Linked DNA regions of Oreochromis niloticus. The protein of the gene in region 3 purifies or fractionates together with the protein of the main gene of each other region. This does not show direct contact. Links are inferred from orthologs where the notes say so. Each region holds a gene or a part of one and is shown on either strand. Other genes may lie near its edges. The genes, in order: lyar, sirt7 and mybbp1a.

Region 1 (7,033 bases), on a different chromosome or scaffold from region 3:
TGATGAATGAGCATCAGTGTTAAACCTGCTGGGATTAGCTGAGCTTCATAAAGCTGGGCAGATTTCCTCCTGTTTGTGTGTGCGTCTGTGTCTGTGTGTCTGCGTGTGCGTACAGGGTAAAGAGACTGCTCATTCTAGTCGTGCAAAATCAGACAGCATTAAAACTTCACCTGAGGCTGACACCAGGCGTCTTGCTTCTATGGGGCTTCTGTGTCCCTGGCCAAGTGAACCCCGTTCGGGGTGCCGAGGAATGTGCATTAACTTCGTCCCGTGTGAGAGTCTAATTCACCTCAGGTGCACCTCTCCCGTTACCCTTCCCCCACTCTAACATCCAATCCCACAGATAAGGTGCCATTTCCCAGCCTTACCGTGAGCTTGGAATGCGTAACAGAGCAGCCATCTATCACAATTGTCATACATTAAACAGTACTAAATTTTGGAAGTCAAACAGGAACCAGACACTTAAATCAGTGGTAAAAATGTTTTATCTTCAACATCATGTCAACTGTATTTTTAAAAAAAGGAAGTCCAATGTAAGATGACAGACAACAATAAGACAATGATGGCTTTGAAATTTTAAAAATCTATGCAATATGTCAAAAGGAGAAGATGAATGAGTCTACTTTACAAGTCTAACTCTATCTTTCAAAACTCTAAGCTTTGGATTTTTGGTGATCTTGTTGTTGAAAAGTGCTAGCACTTCTTCCTCCTTCTTAAAATTCCTATCACCAGTGTAGGAATAGTAGGCAGCCAAAACCTGAAAAACATGAGCAAGCTTTTACTTTAGTGTTAATAAAAGATTATAGAGTTTTGAAACTTTAAGAGTTTGATATACAAATAAACAACTTCATCCTCATTTCATATAGCAATGAAAACACTTCATGGCTCACCTTCTTTCTGAGTTTCTTCACTGACATTTCCTGGTCAGGTGACTCTCTCAGTACTGCCTTGATGTTCCCCTTCCAATTAAATTTGCCTGATGAGAAACAGAAATCAGCTTTCAGTGCAGACACTAATCACCAAGGGTCACTTTCTCACTCTGAACAAAAGAGGCAACACTGACCTCTGCTGCCTAATCACGGACTAATCATTTATTAAAGCGGGGCAATCTCAAGTCATTGCTAGCTCCACCGTACCTTTAGTAACAGCTCGATCCTCAGTCTCTTCTTGATCATCAGCATCCTCCATTTCTTCATCAACTGGAAAAGGATGATAACAGAGTTATCTAATAAATATGAAATACACACACACTTTAGAACAAAAAAATAAACATAAATCTGACCAGACTTCACAAAGCTGCTGATGTAAACATCCTCAATCTATGCTTGAGTGTTAGAGAATACCTAAACTCAGTTTAACCATGACAGTAACAGATAATGTCTAGCACTTCAGAAATCTTGACTCACCCTTTGTTTTCTTGCTCGATGTCTCATTTTCAGTGCCATGGCTGTTCTCATCATCCCTGGGTTCTTCAGAGAGCTGTTTTCTCTTTCTGTCCTTTTTCTTTTTGCCCACCATTTCTTCCTCCAGCTCTTGTGCGACTGTATTTTCAGCACCTTTTGTAGCTTTCCCATTCTTCTGCTGTCGGGCCTCTTTGCGTTCCCGTTTGTTCAGTTTTTTCTTCTTCTTCTCTTCCTCAACACTTGGGTGGCCATTCGGCTCTTCTCTTCCATTAGTGTGCACTTTGACTTCAGCCGCTGTCTGCCGAGCTGGCTGTGGGGGCTCTGAAGCCTGTCAGACAGTGGCAGTTAAAGACAATCACCACAGCTATTGTAAACATGCTAGACTCTTTATTTTTATGGCATACTTGATGTTAAAAGGAGCAGTTTGCTTCCATTCATTTCCTGGTAACATTCAAATTTAATAAGCACACATTCACAGAAAAAACAAAAAACATGAGAACTAACAAGCCTAACTTACGTTATCAGCTGCAGCAAGTATATTCCACACTTCCTCCTGCAGACTGGGGTTTGGTATTTTGAGACTATTTTTCATCCAGTTCTGATGGGAAAAGAAAAATGTGACAGTAAATCAACATTAACATGACAACTGATTACTTTGTACAGTTTTAAGTAATACTAACCTGAAACTTGGCCTTCTTTCTAGGTACGTTATCGTAAGTACTGACTTGCTGGAGGACATCTCTTAGCTTTGCACTGACTCCAGGTTTGTTCATGGCTTCGTGGACTTTCTTCAGGAAAAGGACAAAGGTAGAACAGTTGGCTTTCCTAAGTGATCCAAAAGCTTTGCAGAGTTTTTCTTTTCTTTTCCTTCCCTGAATCTTACCTGGAGCCACTGCTGCTGTTTCACATCTCCTTTGTTTGTTTTCGCCTCGTAGCCTTTGCCTCCATACTTCTGATCTTCACTGATGCATTTAATGTGGGTTTTGTAGTCATCGCCCCTAGTACAAAAATGCACACAAATCGTTAGCACCGAGCCTGATCTAGCGCCTGTTAGCCTGGGGTAGCAGTGAACAGTCGTTAATTACCAGAAGTCTTTTCCACAGTCGATGCAGGACAGGACCTGGCAGCCCCGGCAGATATTTACATGTTTATCAACCTGAGCTTTTTTTAGGGACTCCCCACAAGCGTTGCAGGTGAAAAACACCATATTCAAAGACTCTCCTGTTTGGCTAGAGTGCGGCGATAACGGTCAAAACTGAACCGGCCTACACTCTGCGGTACTGACCTATAAACCGAAGTCGGTTAAACTCTCATGCGAAAGCTGAACGCATGTGACAGCGCTGATACGAGCTAACGTTAGCCAAAGAACGGCGGCAGACCCTGGTCCCCTAAAACTGTAAAACACTACAAAAACAAACCATCTCCTGGGAAAAGTGGAGGTCAAAACGGTGTGAGCCCACGGATTAAATCTGTTTCCTCAAAATCACATTTGAGCGCAAACGTTCAGCAGCTTCGTTATATTACAAACTTTTCCAAACACACATTAGGGTACCACTACCCAATCTGTACCGGAAACACGATCGGTACCACGCATGTGCGAAAGGCCACTACTTCCGCTCGAAGCATTTTACGGGGTCAGAATATCTGTTAAGATGTTAACAATAATAAGTTTCTCTTAAAATTTTTGCAGTAATGAAACATTTTAATATAATGTAGACAAAAACGAGAAAAAAAAAAACAGTTACGGATCAGGACTCCCCGATCCGTACCTCGCATGTGCAGATGTTCTCTTCTTCACCTGTTTCGTTTAATGGAAGTTTACTCCCCAGTGTACAAGGATACTGCCACTTGCTGACCGAGCGAATGAGCCCTGTTGTAAACTGAACTAGCGTCATTACAAATCGTGTTTGTGTATGCGTTAAATTTGATTTAGTGATAGTCGAGTGTGTTTATGATTGTCTGTGTGGAGAGGATTGATTGGAATAGTGATGATGATGTCCGCCATCACTGTCAATTGTCAGTAAACACTTAATCTGGCTGACGAATCTTCACGTGACATATTACTAAGTCTGTATTATTAATTCAATCTTCAACTCACTTAGCGAAGGTCTTTTGTTTTGCCATTTACACTTGTGCCATTTACACTTATGGATATGGTACAACAAATTTCCCACGTGTGGAACTAATAAAGGTTATCTTATCTTATCTTTGCCCATAATTATTACCACACTGTGTAGCATGGCAGGTTCCTTAGACAGAATATCATTATCAGGTGTCACGTGAAGATTCATCAGCCAGATTAAGTGTTTACTGAAAATTTGTAGATGAGGAGGGACATGCTCTAGGACACTACGATTTTTGCCAAAAATTTAATATCCAATGTTCTTAAAGTAAATTTAATCGGGTTGTAAAATTCCATTGTCACTTAAAAACATAGTCGTAAGTGATATAATATATTCTGACATCTCCCCCAAGTTAAGGTAGTTATATATAGATGGTATTCAGTTTTGTGATGTTAAATGCAATAATAAGTTTCTAAGATCTTCCTTAAGGAGTCTTTATTCTCCAAATTTATTTAGACGTAATTACATATTAAAAGATTTCCAAAAGGAAGAAATTGAAAGAATAAGAACTAATTATATCCCCTTCCCTATCCCTCCTAAAGGGAAAGAAGTCCAATTCAAAATTTTAAATAAAATTAACCCAACAAATACGCTCCTTGGTGATAGATTTAAGGTAGAAACTATTAATTGTGTATTTTGTGAAACAGAAGAGAAGGATTTGCACCATCTATTTGTTTTTGTGCAATTTTATACAAATCTTTTGGTTGGATTTTCATACCTGGCTTCAATCGAGTGGGATTCAAATTACCCCATGTACCTTAAATATGATATTGTTTGGAATGTTTCTGAAGGAAAAGAAAGTCAATTATGGTGTTAATGTTTTATTAATCTTGTGTATACAATATATACATAAATGTCGTTTTTTAAGACCAAACCAACCTTATTTCACTGGAAAAACGACCTAAACCTGTTGTTTAAATCTTTGACTTTAGTTAAAAAGAAAAAGGCTGCATTTTTTGTTTCCTTTTTGGAAGATTTTGATTTAGTGAGTTAATACTCTGTTAACTTTTATGACCCCGTCTTCTTTTAACCTTTGTACAAAGGTTGAAATTTGTATTTTCTGAATGTATAATATATGGTGCATTTTGTTTGTATGTTGATTTTGCTAAAAAACAAAACAAAACAAAACAAAACACCGGACCGTTTGGTCGCTACATTATTAGTCTTCCCTGTGCAAATGCAACCAAAGAAAAGTTCCGAGCAGGGTGGAAACGATCCTCGTGTAACTTTTTTAAATAAGTATGAACCACGTGGTTACTTTTAGCATGTCCTCTCCTTACAGTGACTTTAGCCGTTCCATTATTTAACATGGTATATCTGTATAATGGTTAACGATATTTATTAGCGTTTAGCAACTCGAAATTGAAGCTACACCAGGAAGTGACGTTTGTCATGCCTGTCGAAAAGTGACCTATCATCCAAATAAAAGTTGGAATCCTTTAATGTAAGTTTGACCCCCAACTTTATGGGCTAAGATAATATATAAGTCACAGTACCGAGGAGCAGTTCTCGATTTTAAAAGTAATTCATTCGGGATTTTGTGCTCAATCGATTTACACCGCTTAATAACATGGGTGGCTAGCGTAGCTTTGTAGCTAAGCTTAGCAGTTTGTGTCCAATTTTTGCATGGGTGGTCTTGCTGCAGAGGCACACTGGATTCTGCGCGGCTGTTGAATCCCATATGTCAATACGGTCTGTTCAAAACTGCTGTTAGCGCTTCCTGGCTCGCTGGCAGGAGAAATAAAAGGAATAACAGCTCTGGCTAATCACTCGTTGTTGTTGTCTGTTTTTAACTTGGGTCCCCTTAGCTCGCTTTTTGATGAAGACTTTGGAAGTGAGTGGTGGAGCCGCTGAGTAACCATGGACAGTTTGTCCAGCCACAGCTCCTACCTCCTCCAGCAGCTTCAGGAGCAGAGGATTCAGGGTCTGCTCTGTGACTGCATGCTGGTTGTCAAAGGTGTTTGCTTCAAAGCCCACAAAAACGTCCTGGCCGCCTTCAGCTCCTATTTCAGGTGCCATTATCTGTTTTGTAATAAACGTTAATCATACAGAGTTGCTTCAAGGTTTCCGGATGCATTAAGTATTACTCTGATCTTTTCAGGTCCTTGTTCCAAAATTCCCCCAGTCAGAAGAATGACGTGTTCAACCTAGTTATCCAGGATGTCAGTGGCATTGGCCAGATATTGGACTACATGTATACCTCCCATCTTGATATTAACCAAGATAATGTGCAAGCACTCCTAGATATCGCACAGTGTTTGCAGGTTCCGAATGTGCAGAGCATGTGCAATGCTTTCCTCAAGCCCTGTCCTCCGCCAGTGGAAATGCCTTCCTTTTCTCTCTCAGGCATGTTGGGTTCAGAGCATGACTGCCTGCTTGGAAGCAGTCTTCCTAACGATGTTGACCTGCCCTGTCCCTCTGAATCCCAGAGGCCTGGCTTCAGCAGTGACGTGGACCACACCAGAAGGATGCCAATCTCTGTGCCTAACAGCAGCTCACACTGTGAAATGGGTAGCAGCTCTCAGGCACCAGTAGAAAAGCAGCTAGCTCATGGTTACAAGCTCCGCAACTTCTACAGTAAGCAGTACTTTAAACAAAGTGCAATACAGAGCAATAGTGCAAATTCAAACCAGGGCCCTTCAGTGGTGGAAGAGCAGCAGTGTCAACTTGCGATAAGCCAGGCAGGCAACAGCACCCCTGTGAACTCAGGAAACACAGTTCAGCCTAATCAGTCTTCCATATCAGTGAGTGTGGACAGGAACCCTGACTCTTCTCTCACACCCTCAGATAATCTAAACACTCCTAACCCAGATTCCTCAATGAACAAGCCAGTGCGCCCAAAGAAGGCCGTCTACCTGAAGAAATATAACTATCTTCGGTCTCAGAAGGCTTTGGAGGAGATGTGCACTGAATCAGTTATTGAACCTGTCCTTAGCTGTTCAAAGGTGAGCCTTCAAGGAGAGACAGTGGTCCAGGTTCAAGCACCAGAAGCTCCTGTAGAAGATAGCACTGCAGCCAGAGATGAGGTTACAGACACAGCTGCAGATGCACAGCTTCCCAGTCCTCCACCTGTGAATGAAGAGGAGCAAAATCTAAAGCCTGTGCCGGAGCCAGCTCAGCAATCAGGACACAAGCAGTACTGCTGTGAGGTGTGTGGGAAGATCTTCAAACACCCGAGCAACCTGGAGCTGCACAAGCGCTCGCATACCGGTATTTCCTGATTTTAACAGCTCTAGAATCACACATTTAACGTTGAATTATAGGAATTAATTATAATGCTCTTAGGCATAAACTGATCTGTTCTGTTATAGGCGAGAAGCCCTTTCAGTGCAACGTTTGTGGAAGAAACTTCTCACAGGTATTTTCTTTTGTGCTCTTCTAATTTAATAGTTATTCTTAGATGTTCACATTAAACTCAGATGTCTGACAGATTCTGTCTTACAGGCTGGAAATTTACAGACACATTTGCGGCGTCATTCTGGGGAAAAACCATACATCTGTGAGCTG
Region 2 (7,707 bases), on a different chromosome or scaffold from region 3:
CTTTAAACTGAAATGTGAACTCTGAATATACTACATTGCAATGGTAAAACTGAATGATATGATGTTGTTACATTGTTTGACAGACTTCGGGTGTGTGTGTGTATACATATTTATATATGTACACAAAATCATGAATTCATTTTAGTGCAGTCAGAGAAAGCTTTTAACAAAATTAACACTGGATCATCTCTCCAGCAGGAAGAGAAAATATGAGTGGATGGGATGAGCAGCTAATCATATTTCACTTTATGTTCTCTATTCCTTTTACTTACCCAAAGTGTCCTTCATAACAGGTGATTAACCTTATGTTTAACTCCTGACATGCACAGGATATGCATATAGTTAGCTATAACTTATTACAATACAATACTACCCATGTTCCTGTGTACCACAGCAGAAGACTCATTAATTCATAAGTGTGTGATCATGTGACAGCAAATCAAAAGGTTAAAGTAAGAAAGACACATACTGTTTTGGGTTTTTTACTCAGTTTCACTGTAAAATTAGATCTCATGAGGATGTAAGAGTACACCAGCTGGGTCAAAAGAAGCATCACGCAAACGCAGTTGTGGTTAGAAGTTTGTATACACTCACTGTCGGCATGAATGTCACAGAAAGTTTGGTCTTTGTTCATTTTTAACTTCATTTTTCAGGGTGGAATGGTACATTGTACAGCATATACATCACACATCTTTAATGACTTTTAAAAAGTCACAAGATTTAATTTATTTTGGATTTTCTGCAACCCACACAGGGTCAAGTATACATACAAGCTCAAATATATCCATGCACCCCCACTAATAGTTGGTTAAATTTCTTGCAGCAAGTTCGACCTTGACCATATCCTTTTTGTAGCCATTAACGAGCTTCTGGCATAGTTCTGGCTGGATATTTGACCATTCTTCTTTACAGAATTGATTCTGAGTTCATTTAAACTGGTTAGTTTCCTGTTATAGACCCAGCTGTATGGAGCCCCAGAGCATGATGATGCCACCACCATGCTTGACAGCTGGTCTAGTGTTTTTATATTTGAAAGTCTCACCTTTATTCCTCCAAACATAGACCTCTGCCTCGTCTGACCATAAAACTGTTCTCCAGAAGGCAATTGGCTTGTCCATGTGGTTAGCTGCATATTTCAGTCTAGCTGGAGGTGTCGGTTTTGGAGCAAAGGCTTCTTTCTCTGCACCCTCTCAGTCCATTTTGAGTTTCAGCTCGCTTCACTGTGGATACTGATGCTGACATTCAGCAGTTTCCAGTTCATGGCAGTGTTGAGCCTTGGTGGTTCTTGTGTTGTTCCTGAACATCCAAACCAATTTCCTGTCATCTGAGCGTGACAGTTTGGGTCTTCTTTCAGACCCTGGCAAAGTGGTGACACATAAAAATAACATGTACTTTGATACAGTTGTTTGAACTGGAGATATTGGAATCTGTTTAGAAATAACTCCAAGAGACCTTCTTAACTCTGGTAAATCCACAGTTCTCCTTCTTAGATCTTCACTGAGTTCCTTGCACTTGACTTCATTGTTCTAATTATTGATCAATCCGATGAGTGCCATTAAACAAATTCTTCTAATGCTGGCAAAGAGAAACTATCAGCTGTAGTGTGTCTGTGTAGGTTCTCAGTCATCCAGGTCAGGAGCTTGGAAAGAAAAATTTCCTGACAACGTTTCACCTCTCATCCGAGGAGCTTTAGAGAAAATTCAAAATAAGTTCAAACGTATGTACCAAATTTTTGTTTGTTTGTTTTAAGATACATGCTGATGACAATCATGTCACCGTGGAAAAAGAACTGTTTGAAGAAATCATTATAGGCCCAAAAATACCACGGCATTCATGCCCATGATGATTGTATGTAAACTGCTGGCCACAGCTGTATTTATAATCATAGTGGTTATTTTATCACTTATATGTGATTCACATATAAATATGGTTGCTGTTATACTTAGAATACCTCCCGGTGATAACGCCAAACTATTTGAATTGTATTCATTCTCCTGTTCTGAGTTTCTAGGCTGAGAAGTAGAAATTCAAATATTACATCAACAGTGTATGGATTTGCTTTTGATACTGGTGGCTGCTGCAGAGACTGTGTTCTAAATATTGTGCATTTTTACGTGTGTGCGTGCTTGTGTGTTTAGGGTTCACAGACTGGCCGCCCGAGAGGAAAGAGCTTTCTGTCAGCTGCAACACAGAAGTCACTGGAGAGGAAAAGAGGAATGATGTGAGTTTTTCCTGCATCGTTGCTGTTTTTCTGTTTTCTTCACAAATGTGAACCGAACCCAGTCATTACAAGTTACATAAGAACCACTGGAGTGGGTTTTTATTGCAAGGTAAAAATGCAGCAGTTCCTTTAATTTTGTGATGAATTGAAAATCCTGCACCACAGAAAGAAAAAACTTTCTTCTTCATTTCTTTGTCAGCTCCTAAAACTTGTCTTGTCTTTGTTTCAGGATCCAAAGAAAGGCTGCAGGAAGGCACCGGGGGGTTATGACGAGGACAGCACAAAAGTCTGGATTCTCTGCTGAGCTCCTGCCAGAAACCAAACGAGGACATTTCAGAGCAAATCCTCAGAGGGTCCCCAAGAGCGCTTCCTCCTCTAGACCCCAATGACACCTTCCTAATTGGCCCCAGTGAGAACTCCTAACAAGCCCTCTAGTGATTACATGAATAGAGTATTACTAATCATCTGAGAGTTTCCAAATCCAAAAACCAAATTTGATTCAAATGGATGACTAATGTATATCATTGTATTTCATCTCAGGGGCTTTGAGAACATTTTTGACACCATGGTGTCTACAGAGGAGCGGCTATGTCACGTCTGCTTCCGGCATCTTTTAGTTATTTATTTATTTATCTTTTTTGCCATCTTCAGATTATTCATGTTGAAGATATTTGTGTGAAAATGTTGAGTTGACAGAAAAAATCGTTTGGCAGCAACTATAAAGGGTTGTTCACAGCACCTGAAAGATTTATAGACTCTCAGCAGATGTTCTGACAGCTACAGTGAACAGTATTGATCATCTCTCTGTTCATTTGGGTACTAGAGGAAGACAGCAGTTCATAAATTTGGGGTCAAATATTAGATTTGTGTTGGGAACAAATACTCTTTAGTAGGTTGTGCGTTGTAGTCTTCATATAGGCAATCGCTTTGTTTAAAGGTGACCTATTGTGCTTATTTCCAGCCTAATATTTTTATTCACGAACTCCACTAGAGTGGCTTTGCATGATTCATAGGTAACAGAAATCCTTATTTATCTTTTGCTGAGGCTTGGTGCAGCTTCTCACTCCATCCACTGTCTGAAATAAGATACTTTAGCTCCTCTTTTGTTAACTTTGTGACCACTTTGACTGAAATTTCAGGACCACAGATCCTTAAACATAATCTTAAAGTGTGACTGTGGTCACATGCCTTAAAGTTGGCAAGCTAATAGTTACACAGCACCTTGTTTCACGTTTGCTGACATTGGCAGCTCTTTGCCTGCATAAGCTTTATAAACATCTATGAAACAGAATAAAATATACTTCAATCTTACTCTCAGATTTGAAACATAGCTTGGAGCTTTGTTCTGCTTATTTTCAGCTCCATTTTTTGTTGTTTCACTCTACCAGCATGGCTTTGCATGATTAACAGTTAAAAGTTTTCCTTATTATCTGATACTACGCCTTGGCGTAGCACCTCGCTCCCATTAACTAGCTGAAATGAGCTGTTTTAGTCAACTTTCTCCTGATTGGCTGCCCCTCATAAAACGGGTTTCAAGTAGGAAGTGGGTGGGACTTCTGTGCCTGATAAGACCATATTAGGGATATCCTCTTTCTTTTAAAGCCAAGCATAGATAAAACAGTTAGAGCAGTGTGAAGCCTTAACTTTTGTCTGTGCCACAGTATTTATGACAGAAAACAAGAAAAATTATTATAGATCCACTTGATGATGTTAGGAAGTAAATATGTGGTAGATAAGCCTTTTCAGAGCAGACACTTTGGAAAAGCACCCTTGTATGTGCTGTGCTGTATGGCTCACTGTTACATTTAATGGGAAATAAGCATTGCTTGTGTTTTTCCTGCTGCTGTTATAAATCTTTGTCTTTTGTGGAAAAAAAACAGTATTTCCACTTTTCCACAAACACATTGCTGGTGCTCAGTGTAGTGCAGACTAGTCCCAGGTGACAAAAGCTGAGGCCAGCACTACACTTCAGAGATCCCAGGCACGGTGATTTAGGCACTCAGGTCAGTGACCATGAGAAGGACTATCACAACAACCAGCAGAGGCAGTCCTCAGATTCTCTCTGTCATCATTTTTCTTGCCACAGTAGCTCTTAACTTCTCGCAACTCAGCATAATCACCACTAAAACCAGTTGAGGGGTGGGCCGGTTCTCTGGAAGCTCTCTGCGTGGATGGAAAAGAGGTGCATTAGGACACCCAGCTGAAACACACCTGTTCATTCATCACCTTCATGATTCACCACCTCTTGTATTCACACATATTAAACCCTGCTTGTGTGATATGAGTAGTATTTTGTTCGTCTTCTGATATTTGACTTGAAGTGTTACTCTTCGTGTTGCCTTAAATATTTGTAGCTAAAACCTTTTGCAAATTTTGTATTGTTGTGGATTTTTGATTTGTTTTAAATGTTATTTATTTGTTCGTGTTTGATAATAATAAACTTTTATTTACACTGAGTTGCTGATGTGATGTGTGAAACTGAGGGAAAATACAGACTCCCAGCAGCAGGGGGCGGTGTTCCCGGCTCTCACCCGGTTTCTTTTTTACCTTCCGCTTCCGGCTGTGTCTGGTGCTATGAGCTTTGTTTTGAATAGACGTCTTCTCGTCAGCTGATTGAAAACAGGATGGCGGAAGAGCAGGACGCCGGTGTTTCTTCCCGGGCGCAGAGGAAAGCTTTGAGCAAAGCTAAAATACTACAGCGAGAGAGCGAGAGGGAGGTCTTCAGACTGGTGAGAGGGGAGAAAACAGATGCACATTTACAGCTAGCAGGCTAGACTAGCTCATGTTTGCTGTGTGCATTGTGAGGCTTACCCGGTTCCTCTGTCTTCCTCCCGCAGGTCGGGCGGGTCCTGAAAAAACCGGAGTCTGAGCGGTCAGAGGAGGAGGCCGCTGCTCTGCTGCTCCACAGAGACACTGTGGAGGAGCTCTGCAAGAGACAAGTCCGCAGAAATGTGCTCAAGAGGAAGCAGGAAGAGGTGAGACTCCGGCCCAGAGAGGCTGGATCTGGCCTGCTAAGATTGGTTTGTCAGCTAGAGGGACAACTTGAGAACAGAAGTGGAAGCAGCAGGTTTCTGGGTTGATTGTGTGAAGACTCAGAGAGGTTGAATGGTAGTCCCTCTTTATGCACAAAGTCTAATAAATACAAAAGGACTAAACCCATTCTGTTAAATGCACTGGTACTTGTACAGTGCTGTTCTGCTCTAAATGGGCACTAACAGCTTCATTCACCCAATCACACACATTCATTTCTTACACCTAAGCACCTTTTTAACATTCACACATGCACTCCCAGTCTGATGGATGCAGCAGGCTAGATTCGGGCTTCAGTATCTTGCCTAAGGATAAGTCAAAATGCAGACTGGAGGAGCCAGAGTCAACCACTGGTCTCCTGAGCTACCACTCCGGTCCTCATGGACTGCTCATGGAGGAGCAGTATGAGGATTCAACATCTACCCATTTATTATCAATAAGAGTTAACACACGCACACATACAACCAGAAGCAGTATCTCTCAAAGTGCTAAATGTTAGCAGCTATTTTTGTTGGTTTTTAATCCTAGACTTAGCCAAAGTATGAACTGAGGAGCTGAACCAGGCGTGGTTTAACTCTTTTCCCCGTAAAGACGACATTTGACAAGCTCCCCAGTACCCTTAATGACATGTATTGACACCTCAGTACCAATATACTCTGATTTGAGTTTGATGACCACTAGAATAGTTTATGAAGGTCAGCTGCATAGAGAGACCACCCTCACGAATTTCTGATGGAAACCCAGTCATTTTGTTCTATAAGCAGGCCTAAAATATGGTAAAAACCACTCTGTTCAGAAAAGAGCTTCAAGGGTTATTCCTAGTAGGCTAAAACAGGGTGGGAGACATTACTTGTTAAAACATCCTGTGTTTTCTTCCTCTCTTAGAAGCATTTGTGGTGTTTAAAAAACTTTCATTAAAGATCATGGTTGGGTGACAGTGTCCTCCTGCTCTTTCTGCTGTGAGAGGGCAGCGAGGCTTCAGAGTGAAACGTACAGTAGTTTACTGCATGATTTTAAAAATTAAAACTGCTTCTTTTGCTTCGGACTTCCTCCCTTCAGTGATCATTTTACATTATTTTGTCATGGTTTAAAAAAATCAGATGCAAACCATCGTCACCGTCACTCCCTGACCCACCCTCCAGACAAACCCTCAATCTTTTTCTGATTATTTTTGAAGCTCTAATGGTCTTTAGTACATCCCTAATGTCTTTTTCAGGTATTTGATGGTGTTGATGAGCTGAAAAATAAAGTCAGGCAGCTCGCTGTGGCAGTCAAACAAGCCAGTCACCTGGTGGTTTACACTGGAGCCGGTATCAGCACGGTATGTTAAACTCTTCCTCTTCATTTTCGCCTTCCTTTTCCTTTTTAAACTTTCACAAAACTGACATCGTCTATAATTTCAGGCAGCTTCTATCCCTGACTACAGGGGCCCTAACGGGGTATGGACGCAGCTACAGAAGGGTCGGGCCATTAGGTGAGATACAGAGTGTTTACTGTGACATGAAATATATGTATTACTCTCCCCTAGTGCATTCTGTTTGATTTATCTCTGCGTTTCTTTACGAACAGCTCGTCAGACCTGAGTAAAGCGGAGCCGACGCTCACGCACATGTGCATTAAGATGCTTCATAAGGAAAAGCTGGTATGTCACACCAAAGTCCTCCAGGAACATATTTTGAATTTGAATATTGAATATTTTGCATTTAAATGAGTGATTAGAGATTTGTAACTTCAGTTTCAATGGTTACTGCGACATAAAAACAGCATCTAAAGACTCATCAGTTAAATCCAATAATTAAAAGAAAGCTTTAAGTTAAAAACGTTATTTACTTTTTCCAGTTATTCATTCAGACAGAAGCTTCAAAATAACTTCCAAGATGTTCCAAAATCACAAGACTTACTTCTAGAAGGATTTTAATACGGTTAGCCAAGAAAAACAATAGCTACACTTACCAGAACTTTACTATGATAACAAGCAGATGTGACACACACCTGAAACATGATTGGTTATTTGTGTTTCCTGCTCTGGCATTGATAAGGACAGGACAGCGTCCATCTTTAGCGTTACAGAATATTACCTCGGTTTACCCCGGTGCTGCGTCTCCTCCTTGTAGCATCTGTGCTCACATCACATTTAAAGGCAGTGCTTCATGTTCTGTCTTTGTTTGCTCTGTGTAAAGGTTAAGCACGTTGTGTCTCAGAACTGCGATGGACTTCACCTGCGTAGCAGTCTGCCCAGACATGCCCTCTCTGAACTCCATGGAAACATGTTTATTGAGGTAAGAACCACGCATCCTCAGTCCTTAGACTTTGTAGAAAGCCTGGAAAGAATTTGCTGTGATGTTTCTAAAAACAGCATCTAAACCTAAACCCCTACAGATCCAGACGTGTTTGTTTCTCATGCAAAAATATTTCTCAGGTGCATCATGTCTTAAAAGCGCTGGAGGTTAATGTTG
Region 3 (6,960 bases):
TGAAAAAGACCATTTTTATAGCAGTAACTAGTCTGCAGCTGTCACCTCAGAGAGGATGTCCGTCATGGTCTTGGTGGGTAGGTCCTTCAGGTGTTGTTTGTGCTGACTGAGGCTCTGCAGGAGCTGCACACATCCCAACACCACCTGTGGCTCCTGCACAGAAACAAGACAGAGAGCTCAGAGACCACAACGTATTTGATAGAGCATCAGCTGTCCTGGATCTCCTCTGTTCCCTGGATCTTAAATTTCTTGTGAAATTTACAACCGTACAAAAACCTGAAAGTGATGCAACCATGATCATTTTTTTCCCCTGCTTTCCCTATGATTACTATCCCTTAAATATTTGCAGGCGTCTTCAATATATTGTCTCAGGCACATTCTCCTCTTTAATGCAGCAAAAACCTTTCCAAGTATGCTAAAAATGTGAGAAAACTTACCTTAGAGAGGCGGTTGGACTGATGAATGGCGAGAACACCAAACAAGTTTCCAAACATAGCATTTCTGGCAAATTTCTGAAAGACGAAAGATGAAACAAGTTCAAAGATTGCATTCATCGATTTTGGTGCTAAAAGATACCAAACACCCAAAACTCACCTTTTTAGCTCCTTGCAAGTTGTGCTTTTCTTTGATTCTGTTGAGTATACTCTGCAGGGAGACATCTTCAAAGGCACTCAAGACCTAAAAATAAAGGAAACTTTACTGCTTAGCTCAGTTATTATAGAGCACCTTCCTAACACTAGCAGCAAAACAGCATTTTGTACACACTCCGAAACCCATGTGACCAATATATTCAGTTCAATACTCATCTTAAAATAAGGTAAAACTAGCACTTTAAATTGCATGACGCTGTACAGAAGGCGATACACAAATAAAGGGAGACTGTCCATGCTAGGCAGAAAGCACAGGATGATTCATTCAGGATTTTGAAGCACAGGTAGAGAGAAGGTATATCCATGTTTGACAGGGGAAAAACAAAATTGTAATGACACCCTGGAAACTTCTGGCTACCACCCTCATTTAAGATAAATATAACGCTGGGCTTTACAGCTGACTGGTTAGCTTTTAACATGATCACATGTCCTCCTTAGACTTTTGAATTTTGCTCTTTAATGAAGAGTAACGGCAACACATCTTGACCACTTTATTAGGTATATGTGTACATGCTGATGTCATAACCTATTGCTATAGAAAGCTTATAGTGACACTTTTGTACATACAAAAATGTGCCAAAAAAAGGTGTGTATAAGTCTTTTACACACAAATCATCGCTTCTCTCTCTTTGTCTCTATCTTCTTTGTCTTCTTCATCTGCTTCTGTGACTTTGTCATTTGCCTCTTTCTCCTCATCTTCATCTTTGACAACTAAAGGTCGTCACGGCAGATCATCTGAACATCCCCCTATCCCCCAGCATCTTCCTCTGTCGTGCCAACGCTCTGCAATGTCTTCCTTCCTCATGAACCTGCTCTCTGGTCTTCCTCTTTTCCTCCTGGCTGGCAGCTCTGTATTAAACATCTGCTATCCTTCCTCTCTACATCTCTAAACCATCTCAGCCTCACCTCTCTAACTTTTTCTCCAAAAAGCTCAACCTGAGCCGTCCCTCTGATGTACTCATTTCTAACCTTCCCCATCCTGCTCTCTCCCAGTGAAAATTTTAGCATCTTTGGCTCTGCCACCTCCAACTCAGCTTCCTATCGTTTTGTCAGTCGAAGTCTCCAAACTATACATCATAGCAGGTCTCACAACCATCTCTTAGCACATAAAAGCCACATCCAGGAATTTTATCACTTATGAAGATAAATAAAGAGGATTTTTGTTATTAAAAGTAGTGTTGAACTGCTGCACTGTGTTTATTAACCCCAACCCTGAAACAAAGATGTGGCTGAAGCTGTGGATGGGTGCACAGAGGCAGGTCCGCAGACAAAGATAGATGGGGATAAACTCCACTCACCTGCCCCAGAGCGAGGCTGAACCCAGGTCTCGCAGTCTCCCGTGTGTGAGCCAGTCCATCCACCAGCCTTTTAAAGGTGTATTCCAACTCATCCTCCTGCAACACATGAAGAAAGACTGTTTAAAACTTTTAAACTACAGACACTTTAACACTATGTGGAATCATATATATATCCTGGAATATACTTATACATGAAATACTACATACTACACTCAGACATTTTTATAATTGCACTTTTTAATAAATATTTTTTTATTTAAGTGTTGGGTTTAGTTTAATGACCAACAACAATCAGATAAAACTCTGATTCCAAGGATTTCATTACGGGTAATGGAGTTCCACTGTAAACATGCAATTAAACCTTGACCCTTGACAGTAAAATACTTTACTGTGCTTTACAGTATTTCTACTTGCAGTACGGTAAGAAAAAGTTTACTATATTATTAAGCAATTTTATTTGATGTTTTGATTCTTATAAAGTATACAAGGTATTTTAACAAGTTTTGATCAAGTACTTATACACAGGTAGTTACGGTAATAGTGCCTTATGTTAATAATATAGGCCTGACTCTGTTATATGAGTATTAAATTCTTGATACTTGAAATACTTCAGTGTGTCAATGATATCCTGTATGATATCCAGTCATATAATCAGTTACATATGAAAACATCTCCCACCTCTCCATACGACACTATGTGTACAACTACTACTTCTAAAAATATTAGTGGAAAACTTCTGAGGAGTACATGTGCAGCGGGACCACGCTCCGTTCAGGGAGTCTCTCAGTGTCATCGATCGCACTCTGCCTCACCTTGTTGTTGGTTTTTAGGTACTGTATCAGGTTTTCCACCGCCTTCAGTCGGACCTCTTGATCCGGTTTGGCCAGGTCCCAGAAGAAGTCGAGGAAGACCCGGTTCTGCTGCAGGTTACCGGCGGGCCGGAGCGGTTCCGCCGCCTTCACTGAGAGCTCCACCATCTCTACAGACATCTGTTCGAAATGCCACCACCACCTCTACTCATGCTGCTGCAGGGGGAACACGTGCCTCACTCACGGAAACTACATCCGGGTCAACTCACCAGCCATGTTTTTTTTAAGAAGAAAAAAAGAAAAAAACTTTATTGAGCGATTCACAGAAGGGAATGTAATATAATATAATATAATATAATATAATATTGTTAAAAGAGTTGTTAAAATGAGCATATATATCCACATATTCAAATAATAATAATGCTAAATAATAAAAATATATCAATGCATTTATTTATTGAATTACATTTAATTAATATCATACAACATGTTTTTGTTACCATGAGCCTTGTTTTAAGTTTTCTTTCATCCAAATGGTTAAAATAAATGGTGACACTTTTTTCATTTGATTTGCCTTTATTTGTCCATCCATTACATTTTCACTAGAATTTGAACATTTTTATTTTAATTTAACATTGCACTTTGTGTGTCTTTGTTTTACTCTTTTTAAAATTTGCACTTTATATTTTCAGTCTTTCATATTTATATTTTCAGTGTCAGTAACAAAACAATTTCCCTCTGGGATCAATAAAGTATTCTGAATCTGTTCTCCACCCTATAAATGACTTAGAATTCTTTATATAAACTACTCAAGCCACACATTACACTGGATCACCCAGTTTTTCTGATTAATGTAACAAGTCCATGTCTTGGTCTGAAAGACTGGGAAATAACTGATTAATGTTGTTTAAGGGAATATTATTTATTTATTTTTTGGTGATGTTTTACAAAATATTCATTCTGACACTCTTAAAAAAATACCAAAAAGGGCACAGAGATTCAGGATGTCTGTCATGGGACAATAAGAAAAATCAAGTCTTCTATTAAAGCTACAAAAATTAATCCAGACTGCACAATTTAATTAAGATACCTAAGGTCGTATTTTATACCCAAATCCTCAAACACGAGCACACTGTAATCAAATATATGCCTTTATTCAAAACAAGTTACAAATTCTGCAAATCCTGAGGATTATTTTGATATGCTTTGACTTTCTGGGGATTACAGGACACTCCAGACTTCCCCGCTACAACTCTGGAATAAAATATCTGTTTGTGAGGATCAAATACACCTTCAGTGGGCTGCTAGGATGGACTGAGGAATAAGCTAGTTTTTCTTCCCCAGTTTGACTGACTTTGAAGTTTTTTTTTTCATCACTCTCACAGATCCAAAGACGTGGTTTCACCTGTGTTTTCTAGATGCCAGACATCTCACTCACACTTCTTTTAGTTGGTTGTACTTGAAAGGCACCTCACAATTTACGTTCTGCTCTGAAGTCAAATCCTCTTATGGTATTTGCACCGAATTGTACACCCATGTGAGAGTGCACAGGTGTCAACTGAGGCCTAATTTTTAGCTCTCAATAGCAATACCATTAGATAAAGCTTTAAGGATTTCAAACAGGAGATTTCCAAAGATTTACTTTGGATGTAATAAGCAGAAAAGGAATTTTACTTCAATGCCACCCTCTGGGAAAATATTACTTTTAACTTGTTTTTTCACAGCAGAAATTTTGACCTACCACAGTAGGAAAAGCAAAGGTGTGACTAATAACATTAACATTAGTTTGTGTTCAAAGTTTCACAGTGAGTCAGCACAGACAACACCTGGACTCGGAAATGAAGCACCCAAACCGACAGTGGCCATTAGATGTTAAAGGGACTGTTAATCTGTTCCTTTTTCCACATAGTGACTCTGAAGAACTATGAGACCAATTTCACAAACTATGACAAATCAAACACAATCACAGCACATCACACTCAGAAGTCCAAATGTCTCAAATCAAACGAAGCACTTCCATAAAAAGATACCTTTTATTAAATTGCATGCAAATCTCATCTTCACAGTCCAGATCATTAAGAGGCAGAGGTGACTATGCAAACAAATGATTAGCAGAGTCTGACACTGTCACATTCAGAGTGTGATTTCCTGTTATTTCTGTTTAGTTGGAGGGGGCAGCGAGCACAGCGTCCAGGGCACTCTGAGCCTCTTTGATCTGCTGCTGCAGTCTCTGCTTCATGGCCTCGTTCTGAGCCTTCTTTAGCATGTCCTGCATGTCTTTGATGGCAGCCCGATAGCCCGGAGCGTTGTGAAACACTCGGATAGCCTTGTCGCCACTGCACACCAAGAAGCGTCCGTTAATGTCAAATCTAAGGTCCGTGATCTCCACGCTGTGGACGCCGTGCAGCTCCTCCTCCAGCTTTCCGCTGGCAGCATCGTACATGGCCACGTTGCAGCCATCGCTGACAGCCACCACCCGGCCGTCTGGAGACAAGGCCACCCGGCTGCCTTCAGACGAGCTGCAGGGAATGGTTTTCAGGAGGTAGGGATCCTGCTGCTTTTTGTACTCCACGTCCGTGTTCCACAGCTTCCACGTGCCGTCTTTGGAGACGCTCACCATCCTGAAAAATGAAAGGAAAGCATTACTGCTTAACACAGCTTAACACAGCTTAACACAGGACCCTCATGCACCCACCACCTCTAAAGCTAATTAATTAACAGAGATGCTCTCCTGGCTGATTAACCAAGAGAGGAAAACACTCAAAACCAAGCACTATTAATGGAGTTAGACTACATACAATTACTGTGTGTGAATTTAAGAGCAATGATTTTAGATACTTAGAATGCATTTTAAAATAGCACTGAAATGTGTGCCTCCCTGTCAGACTATTGTCCTGATTAGTTTTCTCAGTGTGCCAACATTAGCAGTGTTAGCAGCAGCAGGCTTCTTTACCCTCAGCTTAACGTTTATAGGCTTTTTTATGCTGCCTCAGCTTATAAACAACCATTCATTTTCCATCTCAGATATTGCAGCGTATTACCTGCGAGAGTCGTTGGAAAAGGCAAATGCATGGACTCCAGCAGAGTGGCCCTTCAGGTCAAAGGCTCGCACCACCTCTCTGAAGTCTCCTCCTTTGCCAAAGCAAACCTCCCACACCTTCACATCAGGAGTGAAGCCGCAGGACGCGACAAACCTGAGCAAATAGACGAAGCACGATCAGAGCTCCCAAAGAGTGACACGCAATTCAAACACTTATTTTTATTTAGATTTTTATTTTACTGAATGGAATTTAAAAGTAAAAACAATATGAAGAAATCATCTTACATGTGGGAAAAAGGTTGATTCAATACATGACTTTTCAAACCTTTATTTTTCTCAATAACAATTTAAAGCAGAAGAACCTACAGCTCTTACTGTAAAACTTTGCCTATAGACACTTTTTCTGTTTTAATGTCATGAAACAGTAAAACAATAAACTTACAGAGTAGATGTATATCATTTCTAAGCTTTCAAGTGTAAGCTGTGCAATAAATGAGGAGTGGGACTGACCTGCCACACGGGGAGATGGCAGCATAAGAATTGGTTATCTGGTTCGTGTTGATAGAGGCGAGCAGCTCTCCTTTCAGGTCCCAGATGTTGATACAAGTGTCGGTGGAGGCACTCATGATAAACTTGCCTGTGGATGAGAAACACAATATCAGCCCCATAAACTGGTGACAAATACTGAAAAATAAATAAATAAGGTTTTACAGATATAGCCTTTTTTGCCAGCTTTCTTCTCATGTGAAACTAGAGTCAACTTTGTCTGTGAAGGTTCTCAGTCATCCAGGTCATCGTAGTCAAAGGAGTTTGCAAAGAAAAGCGTCTGGACTTCTTTAAGTTGCTTGAAGACGTTTCACCTCTCATCCGAGAAGCTTCTTCAGTTCTTCAGAGAAGCTTCTTCAGTTCTTCAGAGAACTGAAGAAGCTTCTCGGATGAGAGGTGAAACGTCTTCAAGCAACTTAAAGAAGTCCAGACGCTTTTCTTTGCAAACTCCTTTGACTAGAGTCAACTTTTATTGCTTGTTGGTGGGTTGATTTTTTTCTTAAAACCGTTAGGCTGCCAAGAGGCTGACTAAAGCTGGGCATACACTGTGCGATTTTTTTCAGTCGCATTATTCAGCTCCTGCTCAAACTGTACGATTGATTCGCAGGGGTTAGAAG

What was found.
Region 1: the proteins of mybbp1a (region 3) and lyar purify together in Homo sapiens (affinity purification with mass spectrometry; 3 studies listed by BioGRID and IntAct, with this or other methods). This does not show direct contact. The link is inferred for Oreochromis niloticus from reciprocal best matches to the Homo sapiens genes MYBBP1A and LYAR.
Region 2: the proteins of mybbp1a (region 3) and sirt7 purify together in Homo sapiens (affinity purification with western blotting; 3 studies listed by BioGRID, with this or other methods). This does not show direct contact. The link is inferred for Oreochromis niloticus from reciprocal best matches to the Homo sapiens genes MYBBP1A and SIRT7.

The regions. Positions count from the first base shown.
Region 1 is NC_031970.2:28,789,978-28,797,010, forward strand, and holds lyar (cell growth-regulating nucleolar protein), read right to left. Parts: upstream 3,018-7,033; 5' UTR 2,611-3,017; coding exon 2,489-2,610; intron 2,402-2,488; coding exon 2,287-2,401; intron 2,192-2,286; coding exon 2,084-2,191; intron 2,002-2,083; coding exon 1,921-2,001; intron 1,732-1,920; coding exon 1,407-1,731; intron 1,200-1,406; coding exon 1,137-1,199; intron 977-1,136; coding exon 891-976; intron 758-890; coding exon 620-757; 3' UTR 468-619; downstream 1-467. Other genes in the region: zbtb49 (zinc finger and BTB domain-containing protein 49), read left to right, coding at 5,387-5,538, 5,628-6,736, 6,838-6,884, 6,971-7,033. UniProt on the Homo sapiens protein: Plays a role in the maintenance of the appropriate processing of 47S/45S pre-rRNA to 32S/30S pre-rRNAs and their subsequent processing to produce 18S and 28S rRNAs. Also acts at the level of transcription regulation.
Region 2 is NC_031971.2:32,548,977-32,556,683, reverse strand, and holds the start of sirt7 (NAD-dependent protein deacetylase sirtuin-7), read left to right. Parts: upstream 1-4,698; 5' UTR 4,699-4,845; coding exon 4,846-4,950; intron 4,951-5,058; coding exon 5,059-5,196; intron 5,197-6,467; coding exon 6,468-6,572; intron 6,573-6,654; coding exon 6,655-6,725; intron 6,726-6,820; coding exon 6,821-6,893; intron 6,894-7,431; coding exon 7,432-7,530; intron 7,531-7,707. Other genes in the region: uncharacterized protein cp110, read left to right, coding at 2,139-2,221, 2,451-2,610. UniProt on the Homo sapiens protein: NAD-dependent protein-lysine deacylase that can act both as a deacetylase or deacylase (desuccinylase, depropionylase, deglutarylase and dedecanoylase), depending on the context. Specifically mediates deacetylation of histone H3 at 'Lys-18' (H3K18Ac).
Region 3 is NC_031975.2:24,293,244-24,300,203, forward strand, and holds the start of mybbp1a (myb-binding protein 1A-like protein), read right to left. Parts: upstream 3,013-6,960; 5' UTR 2,938-3,012; coding exon 2,761-2,937; intron 2,045-2,760; coding exon 1,949-2,044; intron 679-1,948; coding exon 595-678; intron 513-594; coding exon 438-512; intron 154-437; coding exon 46-153; intron 1-45. Other genes in the region: tbl2 (transducin beta-like protein 2), read right to left, coding at 4,919-5,378, 5,799-5,951, 6,308-6,434. UniProt on the Homo sapiens protein: May activate or repress transcription via interactions with sequence specific DNA-binding proteins. Repression may be mediated at least in part by histone deacetylase activity (HDAC activity).